Neodiprion lecontei: one gene and its partners. The protein of the gene in region 1 interacts with the protein of each later gene in a biochemical or structural test. Links are inferred from orthologs where the notes say so. Each region holds a gene or a part of one and is shown in the gene's direction. Other genes may lie near its edges.

Region 1 (3,756 bases):
GCCTTGCCATTCCTTTGCAACCTTCAAAATATTCCAAAGCTATAGGAAATATCGAGTCTGGCACTGAATTGTGATCGAGCAAATGGTCCATCAGCCATATCTGTCTTAGTTTTTCAAACTTCCAGTCGCTCTTCGCATGCTTCCACTGTAAGTTAAATTAAGTTCTATAGGAACATTAAGGGGCTGCCCTGGTCGATTTCGACGACGATATATATATATATTTTTTGCATTTGAGATACCTGAAACTTGATATATGAAGATTTATAAGGCAATGTCAAAATCAACTAGGGCACCTTCTTAGGACTATTTACATAAAAAAATTATAGGCTATCGCAGGTACCTTAGATATATAAGTGATCGCTTTTTGAGCTGCTTCTAATTTGCTAGATTCTTTTTGCTCAGCAATTTTCCTCTGCAGCTTCTCCTTCTTCATCTGTCTTTTAGAAGGTTCCTTAGGTTCCTTCGCGGGACTTTCTTCAGTCGATACTCCAGCCTCGTCATCGTTTTCAATTTCTTTGCTGGAAATAGAAGTTCGCTTATTACACTTATCACTATCGTCAGTACAGTTTTGGAGAACGATTCTTTCTCAATAACTAGTTACTAATAAAAACAGAGCGTACCTCGGACGCAATTTCTTCGACTCGATTTCAAACACAGGATCAGTCACTGCCTTTTTTCGTTTTCCTGGCTTCGACTGTTGGTCCTCGACAACCTGCTCCTGTTTATCACTACGTCGTCTTTTTTTACGCCCCGCTTCCTTCTTGTGTGATTTCTCATCGACGTCCATTCAAACTTGATAACCTATTCTCCCTGAAGCAACCGGCCTCGGTGTTGATAACCTTCAAAATCTTGTTCAATCTGTTCATCCGCGTATGTGATGTCCGCGTGTTTCTTTCTCATATTGCATGGTACCGCTCTAGAGGTGAACAGGCAAACATGTAACTTATTTCTGATTGGGTGCGCCACGAACCCATACGACGCGACGAGGAAGTTAAGAGGAAGTGCGATTTCACGGACGTTTTTTGTTCCTACAACTACATTCGCGATTGGTTGGTACGACTGCAAGTGAGAGGAGAGAAGCAGCTGGAAATAGCAGTAGATATTTTGTCACGACATTTATGATCCATCAATAGTTTTCGATTTTGTTCCACAATTTGGTACGAGAAGAAAGTAAAATATTCGTATATACAATATACGTAGACACATACGTGAGTAAGAGCTCTCATAACGTACCTTTACACTACACGCAGCGATGAATATATAGTTTTATTATTGCAATATGAACCGATGTTTTGACGACGAAAATACCATCGCCTACACATCACCTCCGACTTACATTTTAGGACTCGTTTTTAAGGCACATTTCTCATGATACGAGTAGCAGAATACGAAGGTATCCTCTTACCGTTCGTTACGTAACAACGTAAATATATACACTCGGCAATATCTTGATGTTTTTGTGACATTCAATCCGCCCTTAACCCCACTGACGATGCGCCAAATTCCGCTATTATTACCGTCGAATATATCACTTGGTATAACGCAATTTCAACAGAAATCATTTCCTCGAGTTAAGTTACGACATTTACAATCGCGATGTCAGCCGTGTATTTTTCAAAGCATAAGACATTTGTATAACTGCCTTTTTGCACAGGAATGACTTTCCCTTTCAGCTACATTGGTGGTGAAGCAAATATTACCAACATAACTTAACCAACATGACGGAGGACATGTTAGGGTCAGACATATGCAGGGTCTGCAGATCCGAAGGTTTGGCGGATAGGCCGCTGTTCCATCCATGCATTTGCACCGGCAGTATTAAATGGATACATCAGGAGTGCTTAGTGCAGTGGATGCGGTATTCGCGGAAAGAATACTGTGAATTATGTGGCTACCGCTTCTCCTTCACGCCGATCTACAGTCCTGACATGCCCAGACGTCTTCCTCTACGAGATGTTGTCGGCGGGCTGCTTTCCAGTATCGTTACAGCTGTCAAATATTGGCTTCATTACACCTTGGTCGCCATTGCATGGCTCGGCATTGTTCCACTCACAGCCTGTCGAACTTATCGTACTCTTTTCAGCGGGTCTCTGGATTTAGTTCGGGTTAGTCATCTAAGTATATCTACGTCCATCCAAATATCTCATGGTTTGGAAAAAGAAAATCATTGTATTTTTTTTCTCAGATAATGTCGCTGCCGATGGATATGCTTTCGACAGAAAATTTATCCTCAGACGTGTTCCATGGGTGCTTCGTAGTAACCTGCACTCTTTTTGGTTTCATCGGGCTGATTTGGCTGCGTGAACAAATTCTCCATGCTGGAGGACCCGACTGGCTTGAGAGAGACAATGTACAGTTGCCTCCGGTTGATAACCCTCCTCATCGAGATGGGCAGGATGGTCAAGCAGGACAAGACCAGCCTGCAGATAATCAGCCGCAAGCTCAGGATAACAATAATGTACCTCCCTTTGTTGAAGAACCTCCCATTTTGCAGGAGAGACAACACAATATCGAAGGTTACTTTTAAAATTGATGCAACTTACAATCTTACTGTACGATTGTTGATCAAGAACATTTTTTTTCAAATACTGATAATGTTTCTTTAATATTCACAGAAAACCAACATGATATTCCACTGGATCCCGATATAGGCGAAGGCATACTGAACAATGCTCCCGAAAATCCAGAGGAATATATATTAAACCCAGAAGTTGGTGAAAATAACATAGGGAATCCAGATGGGGCGCTCAGAGGTGAAGAAGAAGAACCAGTATTTCCTCCCAGGGACGAGCCAGGCATAGATGGTGCCCAGCCCAATGTCCAGGCTGGTGCAGGATGGAGGGCACAAGGTCAAGGCCAGGGGGAGGCTGAAGAGGCAAATTGGAATCCCATGGAATGGGATCGACCAGCCGAGGAACTAACTTGGGAGCGACTGTTGGGATTAGACGGGTCGCTTCTTTTCATTGAGCATGTTTTCTGGGTGGTTTCGTTGAACACTCTGTTCATAATGGTGAGCATAGAGAGATTGAAGATGAACATTGCTATGTTTGAGATGTCTTGAATCAATTACATCACCAATTCATTTTTCATTCTAGGTGTTTGCCTTCTGCCCTTATCACATTGGGCACATCACAATAGCGTGGCTAGGTCTACAAGAACATGTAACAGCCTCGCATTTCGAGGGACTAGTAACAACGCTTTGCGGTTACTGTGTGATCGCCGTTTCTATGGTGGTTTTGCACACACTAGCAGCTCTTCTAGGTTTGCAGCGATCGCAGAGGGTTCTAGGCCTTTGTTACGTTGTCGTGAAGGTCTCTTTATTGTCAGTTGTAGAGATAGGAGTCTTGCCACTAGTGTGCGGCTGGTGGCTCGACATCTGTTCTCTCGCAATGTTTGACGCCAGTCTCAGAGACAGAGAATCTTCGTTCAGGCTGGCGCCTGGAACTTCAATGTTCATTCACTGGCTTGTCGGAATGGTTTACATATATTATTTTGCCTCGTTCATTCTACTTCTAAGAGAAGTTGTGAGGCCAGGGGTTCTCTGGTTTCTCAGAAACTTGAATGATCCGGATTTCTCGCCTATCCAAGAGATGATACATCTACCACTGCTCAGACACGCCAGAAGACTCGTCGCGTCTGCAGTCATATTTGGAACCGTCGTACTACTAGTACTCTGGTTGCCAGTGAAGCTGCTCAGGTGGGGATGGCCGGGATTTCTGCCCTACACCGTCACTGTCCAGAGTGAAGCACAGGTAA
Region 2 (3,756 bases), on another chromosome or scaffold:
ACGCTATCGAATATCGCGTTAACATCGCAGAGACAGGAAAGGTTTAGGGAATGCATGTGTAGCACACCAATAAGTGATAATCGGGCGAATCTAACCCTCATTTAATCGAAAACTAGCGTGCTGATTTTCTACTCCGGTCGGAGTAAGGCGGCCCTTTTTTTCCCCTTAGTTGGGCAAGACTTGAGTTTCTAGATTTCACCGTGTCGGTAGAGTTCTACATACTTAGTTTTCGTTAATACCCTGCTAGATTTTTCACCGTTTTTATATTATCGTAAATTACTTACCGGAAAGTGGCTCCTTAATTATTACAAGTATACAACACACTGATGGATTAATTTTCAAACAAGAAATTGATGTTTTTTTTTTTTCTTTAGGTTTCTATTGTCGTTATTACGGGTACACGTTGTTATTATGTGTATATTTATTTATTTTTTTTTATTTCTTTTCTTCTCTCTCCTTATCACGGGGCAGCACACATCGAGAGCACAAACGACGGAGGACCTTCACACTCTACACAAAAGTGGAGAAATTTCTACACCCGACTGAAGTTGGCTGCAAACAAACAAGCATCACCACCACGATCGATACGCAAGATGGCGACTGAACACTTCGATAACCGGGAACTGAGAAAGCAGCGAACGGTGAAACGGTGGGCAACGCTCACCGAGTCGAACTAAACGCTCACGGCTTGAAATCCAGCACTAAACCATATGGCTCGGTCAATGATGAGCGTGTTCGTCCGTTAGTGTCGCGACCCGCACGCCACACAGACTTTTTCAAAGTCTCTTCACCAGCGCCAGACTTTGCTACGCTTTGTCTACAGCTGTTTTCGCTGCTGATACACAATACCAGAAAACGATATTCGATCAGTATTATAAATTTCCAAATTTGTGAACAATGCAATTAGTATATATTCAAAACTTTCTGGACAATGTTAGCAAAGCCGAAAGTAATTTGTTTGTTAAGACGTCTTACGTATTTGACTTCCGAAACAACGCGTTGTTGCTTTGGACCTCTTGTCACCGTATTTTCGCTTCGCGGTGTTTGGAAATTTCAATTTATTTTGTGCGGTGCATAATTAATTTCAGCTTTACATGAAACAGCAAAAAGACTGCAGTGTGGGGTCGAATAGAGCTCAATAATCCATTGAATCCCTACAAATGTAATCGACGGTCTATTAGTTACTTGCTTGACGAGTTAAACAACCATTCGCAGAGTTTGCTGGTTTAAAATGATACATTAACGGCGAAAGATTGTGCCGAAGGTCCTTTTACCGCTACTGCACTTCCATGCACTTTCTGACTTTGTTCCGGAGTTAGTTGGCGGTACAGTCACTTATATTTTATTGCTGTTGCACCGATGGGTTAACTACGAGTTCTGTCTCTGTCTTGTTGATTTTTTAGCGCTGGCGGCGCATTTTGAAACGTACGCTGTGCATGATCGGAAACAGTACCAATAAAAAAGTCTCATTACCCAACACCGCTACACTTTTGAACATTTTATACGCCAGCCGGTAGAGCGCAGTATTTCATTGGCAGATTTTCATCATTTTGATATCAGTGTAGGAAAGTGTAGCGGCCACAGCAGTGAAAGTATCCCAAAATTACCATAGGTGACATGTTGAATCGACCGTGTTAACTTGGGCGAATAATATTTAGCAATAATTATGGCGGGTTCTGCTCTTAGACGTTTAATGGCAGAATACAAACGTGAGAGAATGTTTTGTTTCTCACGGTATACATGCTGATACAATTGACGTGAAATATATTCTACATAACCTCAAAATTGTTGAATATTTTTCAGAATTGACACTGAATCCTCCGGAAGGAATAATCGCCGGACCAATTAACGAGGAGAATTTTTTCGAATGGGAAGCTTTGATCACGTGAGTCAACCGAACTTTTCTTTCAACACGTCTGTTACTTAAATCGAAACTGACAGCTGACACTTCATGTCTTCCATATTAATTAAAATTGCTGCATTGGCGGTATCTCATAGCGAAGATAGGCCTACGAACCAGTTTTTCTCGGTAAAAAAAAAAAAAAAAACAACTGCGATGCGCCATATTTTTTAAATATTCAAATTGTTCCGTAAGTTGGCGCCAAAAATTTCTTTCGTTTCAACTCTGCCAATAATATGTAAAAAAAAATCGAACAATCCCTCTATTGTCGGAAATTTCTTATTTCAAATTTATTAATTGATTTAGACGGTCAAACATTAAAAATTGATCAGCAGAAAAATTTGCTTTTGGTATATGAAAAGTCTGAAATTTTGACACTGGGATTTTGTTCTATTATTTCTAATGATGAGAAACATCTGCCACATTTTACAATTTGAGGTGAATTTCTAACAAAAATCAACACAGAAGAATAAAACTATGTTCTTTTAATTGTTCAGTAAGGTGAAGTTCGATCCAAAAATTTGAGGATAATGAAAAGGTCAGGGCGAGAAATCTGATCATTGACATTTCATAACTCACCATTAAAAGTTCTTTCTGTGGGAATTGTAGATTCTATGGGATACATCTATGTGAAATGAAATGTAATAATGTACATTAAGTACCCATTACATTCAGAATTATATTGAATATGAATTATGCAGCGGACCCGAAGGAACTTGCTTTGAAGGCGGAGTATTTCCAGCAAAGCTAATTTTTCCCCCTGATTATCCCCTGAGTCCTCCAAAGATGCAATTCACATGTGAGATGTTTCATCCGAACAGTAAGTTTTGGAAATATTCATCCAATATATGGGAAATAAGTATACAATTGTGTGAAGTGTTGATGGAATTTTAAACCCACAGTATATGCTGATGGAAGAGTTTGCATTAGCATTCTTCACGCGCCGGGAGATGATCCGATGGGTTACGAAAGTAGCGCGGAAAGATGGAGTCCTGTGCAGAGTGTAGAAAAAATTTTATTGAGTGTCGTCAGCATGTTGGCAGAGCCTAACGATGAGAGCGGAGCTAATGTTGACGCGGCTAAAATGTGGAGAGAAGATCGCCTTGAATTTGAGAGAATTGCACAGAAGCTAGTTAAGAAGACTCTTGGAATTCCAATATAGTCTTATATCATAAAAATGAATCCAATGTTATCTATGTACCAATTGTTTTCATCATTTATTTACTGCTCGTTAAATTATCAAAATAATTGTATATAAAACGTGAAATATGGAATTTAGGTTTTCAAAACTGTGTTATCTCTGTGATATATATTTTTCCCCATCGTCCATCTGTATTCAATGATCAGTAAAGAATGCAGTTCTAATGAAATATGTTTCATTCGATTTCACCATTTCGCCGAGGTATGCGTTCGATCCATTCAATTTGAATGGCTCTAAAAAAAACCAAACAAAGATACAAATTCCAGACTCGGCACAAACTACTGAAAACAAAGTTCCAGGTGTGGGTAAGTATATGGAAAAACGACTGTACAAACATGACATAACATGTATTAAACAAATTAAATAATCATACGGCTGGTCTGTCCGTAATGTAACAATTATTTGTTTCCTTGATAGCGATTAATTATTGTTCAATGTAAATTGAAAAACATGTTAAATATTTTTCTTGGAATAATACTGAGTTGATTACAAATTAAATATATCTTCCTAATAACGGATTGCTTGTAAACTAATAATACTAACCATCTTTAGGTAGAGTTAAGTCAACGTTCTTTGCTGTTACTTTTGCACGATATATTTGAATTACATATTGTACTCATAAATTAGGTAAGGTAATTTACCTGATTTGAAATAT
Region 3 (3,756 bases), on another chromosome or scaffold:
TAGTTTGGCAAGAAATTTTATTTTTATTTTATGGTGTTGAAATATTTATTAGATTATAGTTGAAGAAGAAATTAATTATGAGTCAAGAATTCTTGTTCATTAGTAATCAATCAACTAACTAATTGATACATAAAAATCTGAATTGAATTAAAAATTGTCCCATAAGTATGATAGTAAACAAGAATGTTTGCTTTTGATTCTGTAATTCTTTGTGTTGTTCTCAACATGAAAGTAATTTATTCCTACTCTCTCGCATAAAATGATGTTTCAAGTCGAAAGTATGGAATAAAACAATGAGAATACACTCTACACTGAATTGAAGCGGGAGTAAAATCTAACATTATTATGAGCACCAGTCGCGTTAAACGTATATAATCACATGTAAAATGCTGAGTATATAAAATTGTACAAAACTTGGAAGTGCGTATAATCGCAACAATGAAGGTGCCTCGAGTGATTTTACTAAAAAAAAAAAAAAAGACAATGAAAACAACGATTCGTACCAGCTCTGAGATTGGAAATGACGTTTCAAATGAATGCAGTATTTACATATACATTCCAAGTACGACATACCTATAATACGCCGTTACGTTGCAAGGGATAACCTAATGATAGTGACATGGTTATTTGTGACGATTGCCAGCGAATTGGTACCGGACTGATGAGATTGATGTGTCGAGTCGATTTGAGTATGATAGTCACGGGTAGAAGATGACAACAGGCCCTTACCTACTTCCACAACGTGTATTTTGTTGCCTTGCGTGTAATATTGTGGATTGCGTACTGAACGGAGAAGGACACGACCATTTTGCAGGAGACGTTGCGCTACCGTTCGTAACGACATTTCTCCGCACTCGTGGGCCGAGAGAGCCCGGGCGGGCCCTAACCCAGACGCGAAGAGTTTTAACTGGAAAATTTTGATCGCGCAATTATCAAGAGTCCTGGAACACTCTAATTATTTTTAAAAGAATTCGAACACGTCTTTTGTCGCCAGTTCAAAGTTCACCATTTGCAATTATCATACCCATGGATGAACCTGCCTTTCGGACCCGATTGGGTGAAATCAGCCTCCATTTTGCGCAGACTCGAAATCCGCAAAAGCGCGGGAAAATATGAAATCAGGAAACAGGACGTATACTACTCGCGGGTTTTTCCTTCTTTCGGATAAGGTACCTAGTGAAGCTGAATGCGACAAAAAAATCGTATCGCCAACAACGCTAATATAACGGTATAAGTATAATTAATTTTTCTGTCATAGCATAGATACTTATCATACTTCCTAGTTCGCAAGTACATCCGCGATTGTGGCGTTATAAAGGTAAACTTGCGTTGTAAAATCTGTTCAGTCTACTGATGATACATTTGGCGAAGTGCGAGGACACGCATAAAGAAAAATAATTCCAGTCAACCAACTTCTCTCAGTCTGAATTGATCCGTATTTACGATTCGAATGACGAAAGTGCGCCTGACAATGAGCGATACTTGGAATATAATGGTCATGCGTAAAGCGCACAAGTCAACTACGCAGGATGCTGGATTGTTTCACTTCCGGTATACGGGTCTTCCATCATATGTTTGTGTGCCGTGAAAATTGTTGGTTGTCAAAGTCGAAGGATATTTTTTCATTCGTTGTGACTCCTGATTTCTAACAATCGCAATAATATTCGCCCCGTATTTAGCCAGGTATTATCAAAACTCTGCGAGTGTACCGTGAAGTCGTATTTTCCAAACGCTCAAATTCCAGTTAACCTTTACAACGTTGACGTGGTTTTTTTTTTTTTTTATCATTTTTTTTTTTCATCGTCAAAACTGACGTCTGACTCCTCTACGAAAATAGGTTATCACGTTATACGTATACATGTAATTAATTGTATCGCGGTAATGTGTCTCACGAAAAACAGTTGAGCCTGATGTGAGAAATAATTAATACTCATTCGTGAATACAAGTGTGAAAACAGTGAAGTTTCCATTACCAATAGTACCGATCAACCCAGCCTAGTTTATATATATATGGTAATAATGAATAGAAAGCCAAACACTGCCACTGCTAGATTAAAGCAAGACTATTTGAGACTGAAAAAGGACCCGGTGCCGTACGTCGTAGCTGAACCCGTACCTTCGAATATATTAGAATGGTAATAAAGATAACATTATTTTGATCCTTCGCGTGCGTAAAAGATTGACAATTCATCCATTTGCACAATATTGATGTCAGTCGACGTATAGCATTGAATCAGGCTGCAAGCCTACGACGAGACAATTGATTTGTTTATTTATTTTTATACTTACAGGCATTATGTTGTCAACGGTCCGGAAAGTACACCTTACGAGGGTGGATTTTATCACGGAAAGCTCGTATTTCCACGGGAGTTTCCTTTCAAACCACCTAGCATATACATGACCACGCCAAACGGCAGATTCAAAGTAAACACACGGCTTTGTCTATCCATATCCGATTTTCATCCAGACACTTGGAACCCGGCATGGAGTGTTTCCACCATTCTCACCGGTCTCCTTAGCTTCATGGTAAGAAGGCTTCAGTAAAGTACATTTCCCATGTGCTAGTACTTCACATTGAAATTGCATATTTTTTTTAAGGTTTTCGCCAATATTGTTTCAAAAACTGTTGCAATACTTAAAACAAATGGAAAAATTCATATTCTACTTATTGTTGACATGTTGCTGGTTTCAGTCAAAATTTCAAATATTTACAATGTATTAAAAGTTTTGAGATATTGGAAAACTGTTGAAATATGGATATTGTTTTCGCACAGATTGAAAAGAGCCCGACACTGGGCAGCATAGAGACACCAGACTATGAAAAAAGGCTGTTGGCATCGCAGAGCCTTGAGTACAACCTCAAGGATAGTACATTTTGTGAATTATTCCCAGACACGGTATCGGTAAGTCGATAACCTCTTTGTTTAATGAATTTTTAAGATTCATTTACTCATTATGCAGCAAACTAGATACATAGATGCAATGATTTCACTCGATAGGCTATAAAAGCAGAGTTGGAGCACCGCAAGGAACTGGAAAAGCAAGCAAGGCATCAGTCGACAGCATCTGAAGTATCTTCGTTAATTAGAGATCAGTTTCAGAGAGAACAGAGTCCGCTTCATAGTGCCCTCACTAACCTCATTGTTATCGTAGGTTTTGCCGCGTTTGCCTATACTGTGAAGTATGTTTTGAGAAGCATTGCTACCGAGTAAATTAATTCTAGTTATATCATAGACATATTATGTTCTGTTCTACTGAAAACCTAAGAATGGGGTTCGTGTTTCTGTTATAAAAACACACTAGGAGCTTCGAAAGATCTGATATCTAGCGACTGGTCGAGCAGACGTAGGTAATAGTTCTTTTGTCCTGGACACGGATTTGATAGGAAACAATGATGTTGTTTTGATACCGAGAATGACTATTCAGTCTAATGTAACCAGGTCCGTAATCACATGGTTGAGTGAATTACTCGCATTATCCAACTCAAACATATGCATTTCCATTATTCATCTATAATATTTCTTTTTAACAATTATTTGCTTCAATTTTCATGTGTTATCTAGTATTCGCATTATAATTATCGTTGAATATGCAGATTCTAAATCACAAAATATTAGTAATATGAAGAAGATATATTTCTATAGATTTATAGAATACCTTCTACCTTGTTATTCATTTTAATTAAGCACAATATTACTCGCGAAATCATGCAAATTTTTCAATTTATTTCATGTTTTTCATTCATGAAAAACGATG

What was found.
Region 2: the proteins of E3 ubiquitin-protein ligase MARCHF6 (region 1) and ubiquitin-conjugating enzyme E2 G2 form a complex in vitro, tested with the Homo sapiens proteins (2 studies listed by BioGRID). The link is inferred for Neodiprion lecontei from reciprocal best matches to the Homo sapiens genes MARCHF6 and UBE2G2.
Region 3: the proteins of E3 ubiquitin-protein ligase MARCHF6 (region 1) and ubiquitin-conjugating enzyme E2 J2 form a complex in vitro, tested with the Homo sapiens proteins (2 studies listed by BioGRID, with this or other methods). The link is inferred for Neodiprion lecontei from reciprocal best matches to the Homo sapiens genes MARCHF6 and UBE2J2.

The regions. Positions count from the first base shown.
Region 1 is NC_060264.1:29,024,452-29,028,207, reverse strand, and holds the start of E3 ubiquitin-protein ligase MARCHF6, read left to right. Parts: upstream 1-1,060; 5' UTR 1,061-1,208; intron 1,209-1,233; exon of another isoform or gene 1,234-1,374; intron 1,375-1,405; exon of another isoform or gene 1,406-1,648; intron 1,649-1,673; 5' UTR 1,674-1,718; coding exon 1,719-2,105; intron 2,106-2,185; coding exon 2,186-2,516; intron 2,517-2,615; coding exon 2,616-3,010; intron 3,011-3,095; coding exon 3,096-3,752; intron 3,753-3,756. Other genes in the region: uncharacterized protein C7orf50 homolog, read right to left, coding at 1-145, 341-518, 621-787. UniProt on the Homo sapiens protein: Endoplasmic reticulum membrane-associated E3 ubiquitin ligase that plays a critical role in mitigating endoplasmic reticulum stress, the regulation of cholesterol and lipid homeostasis, and ferroptosis.
Region 2 is NC_060266.1:5,469,845-5,473,600, reverse strand, and holds ubiquitin-conjugating enzyme E2 G2, read left to right. Parts: upstream 1-1,426; 5' UTR 1,427-1,666; coding exon 1,667-1,709; intron 1,710-1,803; coding exon 1,804-1,885; intron 1,886-2,601; coding exon 2,602-2,720; intron 2,721-2,802; coding exon 2,803-3,062; 3' UTR 3,063-3,189; downstream 3,190-3,756. UniProt on the Homo sapiens protein: Accepts ubiquitin from the E1 complex and catalyzes its covalent attachment to other proteins. In vitro catalyzes 'Lys-48'-linked polyubiquitination. Involved in endoplasmic reticulum-associated degradation (ERAD).
Region 3 is NC_060263.1:37,178,093-37,181,848, reverse strand, and holds the start of ubiquitin-conjugating enzyme E2 J2, read left to right. Parts: upstream 1-1,441; 5' UTR 1,442-2,010; coding exon 2,011-2,135; intron 2,136-2,291; coding exon 2,292-2,526; intron 2,527-2,774; coding exon 2,775-2,903; intron 2,904-2,999; coding exon 3,000-3,212; 3' UTR 3,213-3,756. Other genes in the region: serine/threonine-protein kinase Pink1, mitochondrial, read right to left, coding at 730-844. UniProt on the Homo sapiens protein: Catalyzes the covalent attachment of ubiquitin to other proteins. Seems to function in the selective degradation of misfolded membrane proteins from the endoplasmic reticulum (ERAD).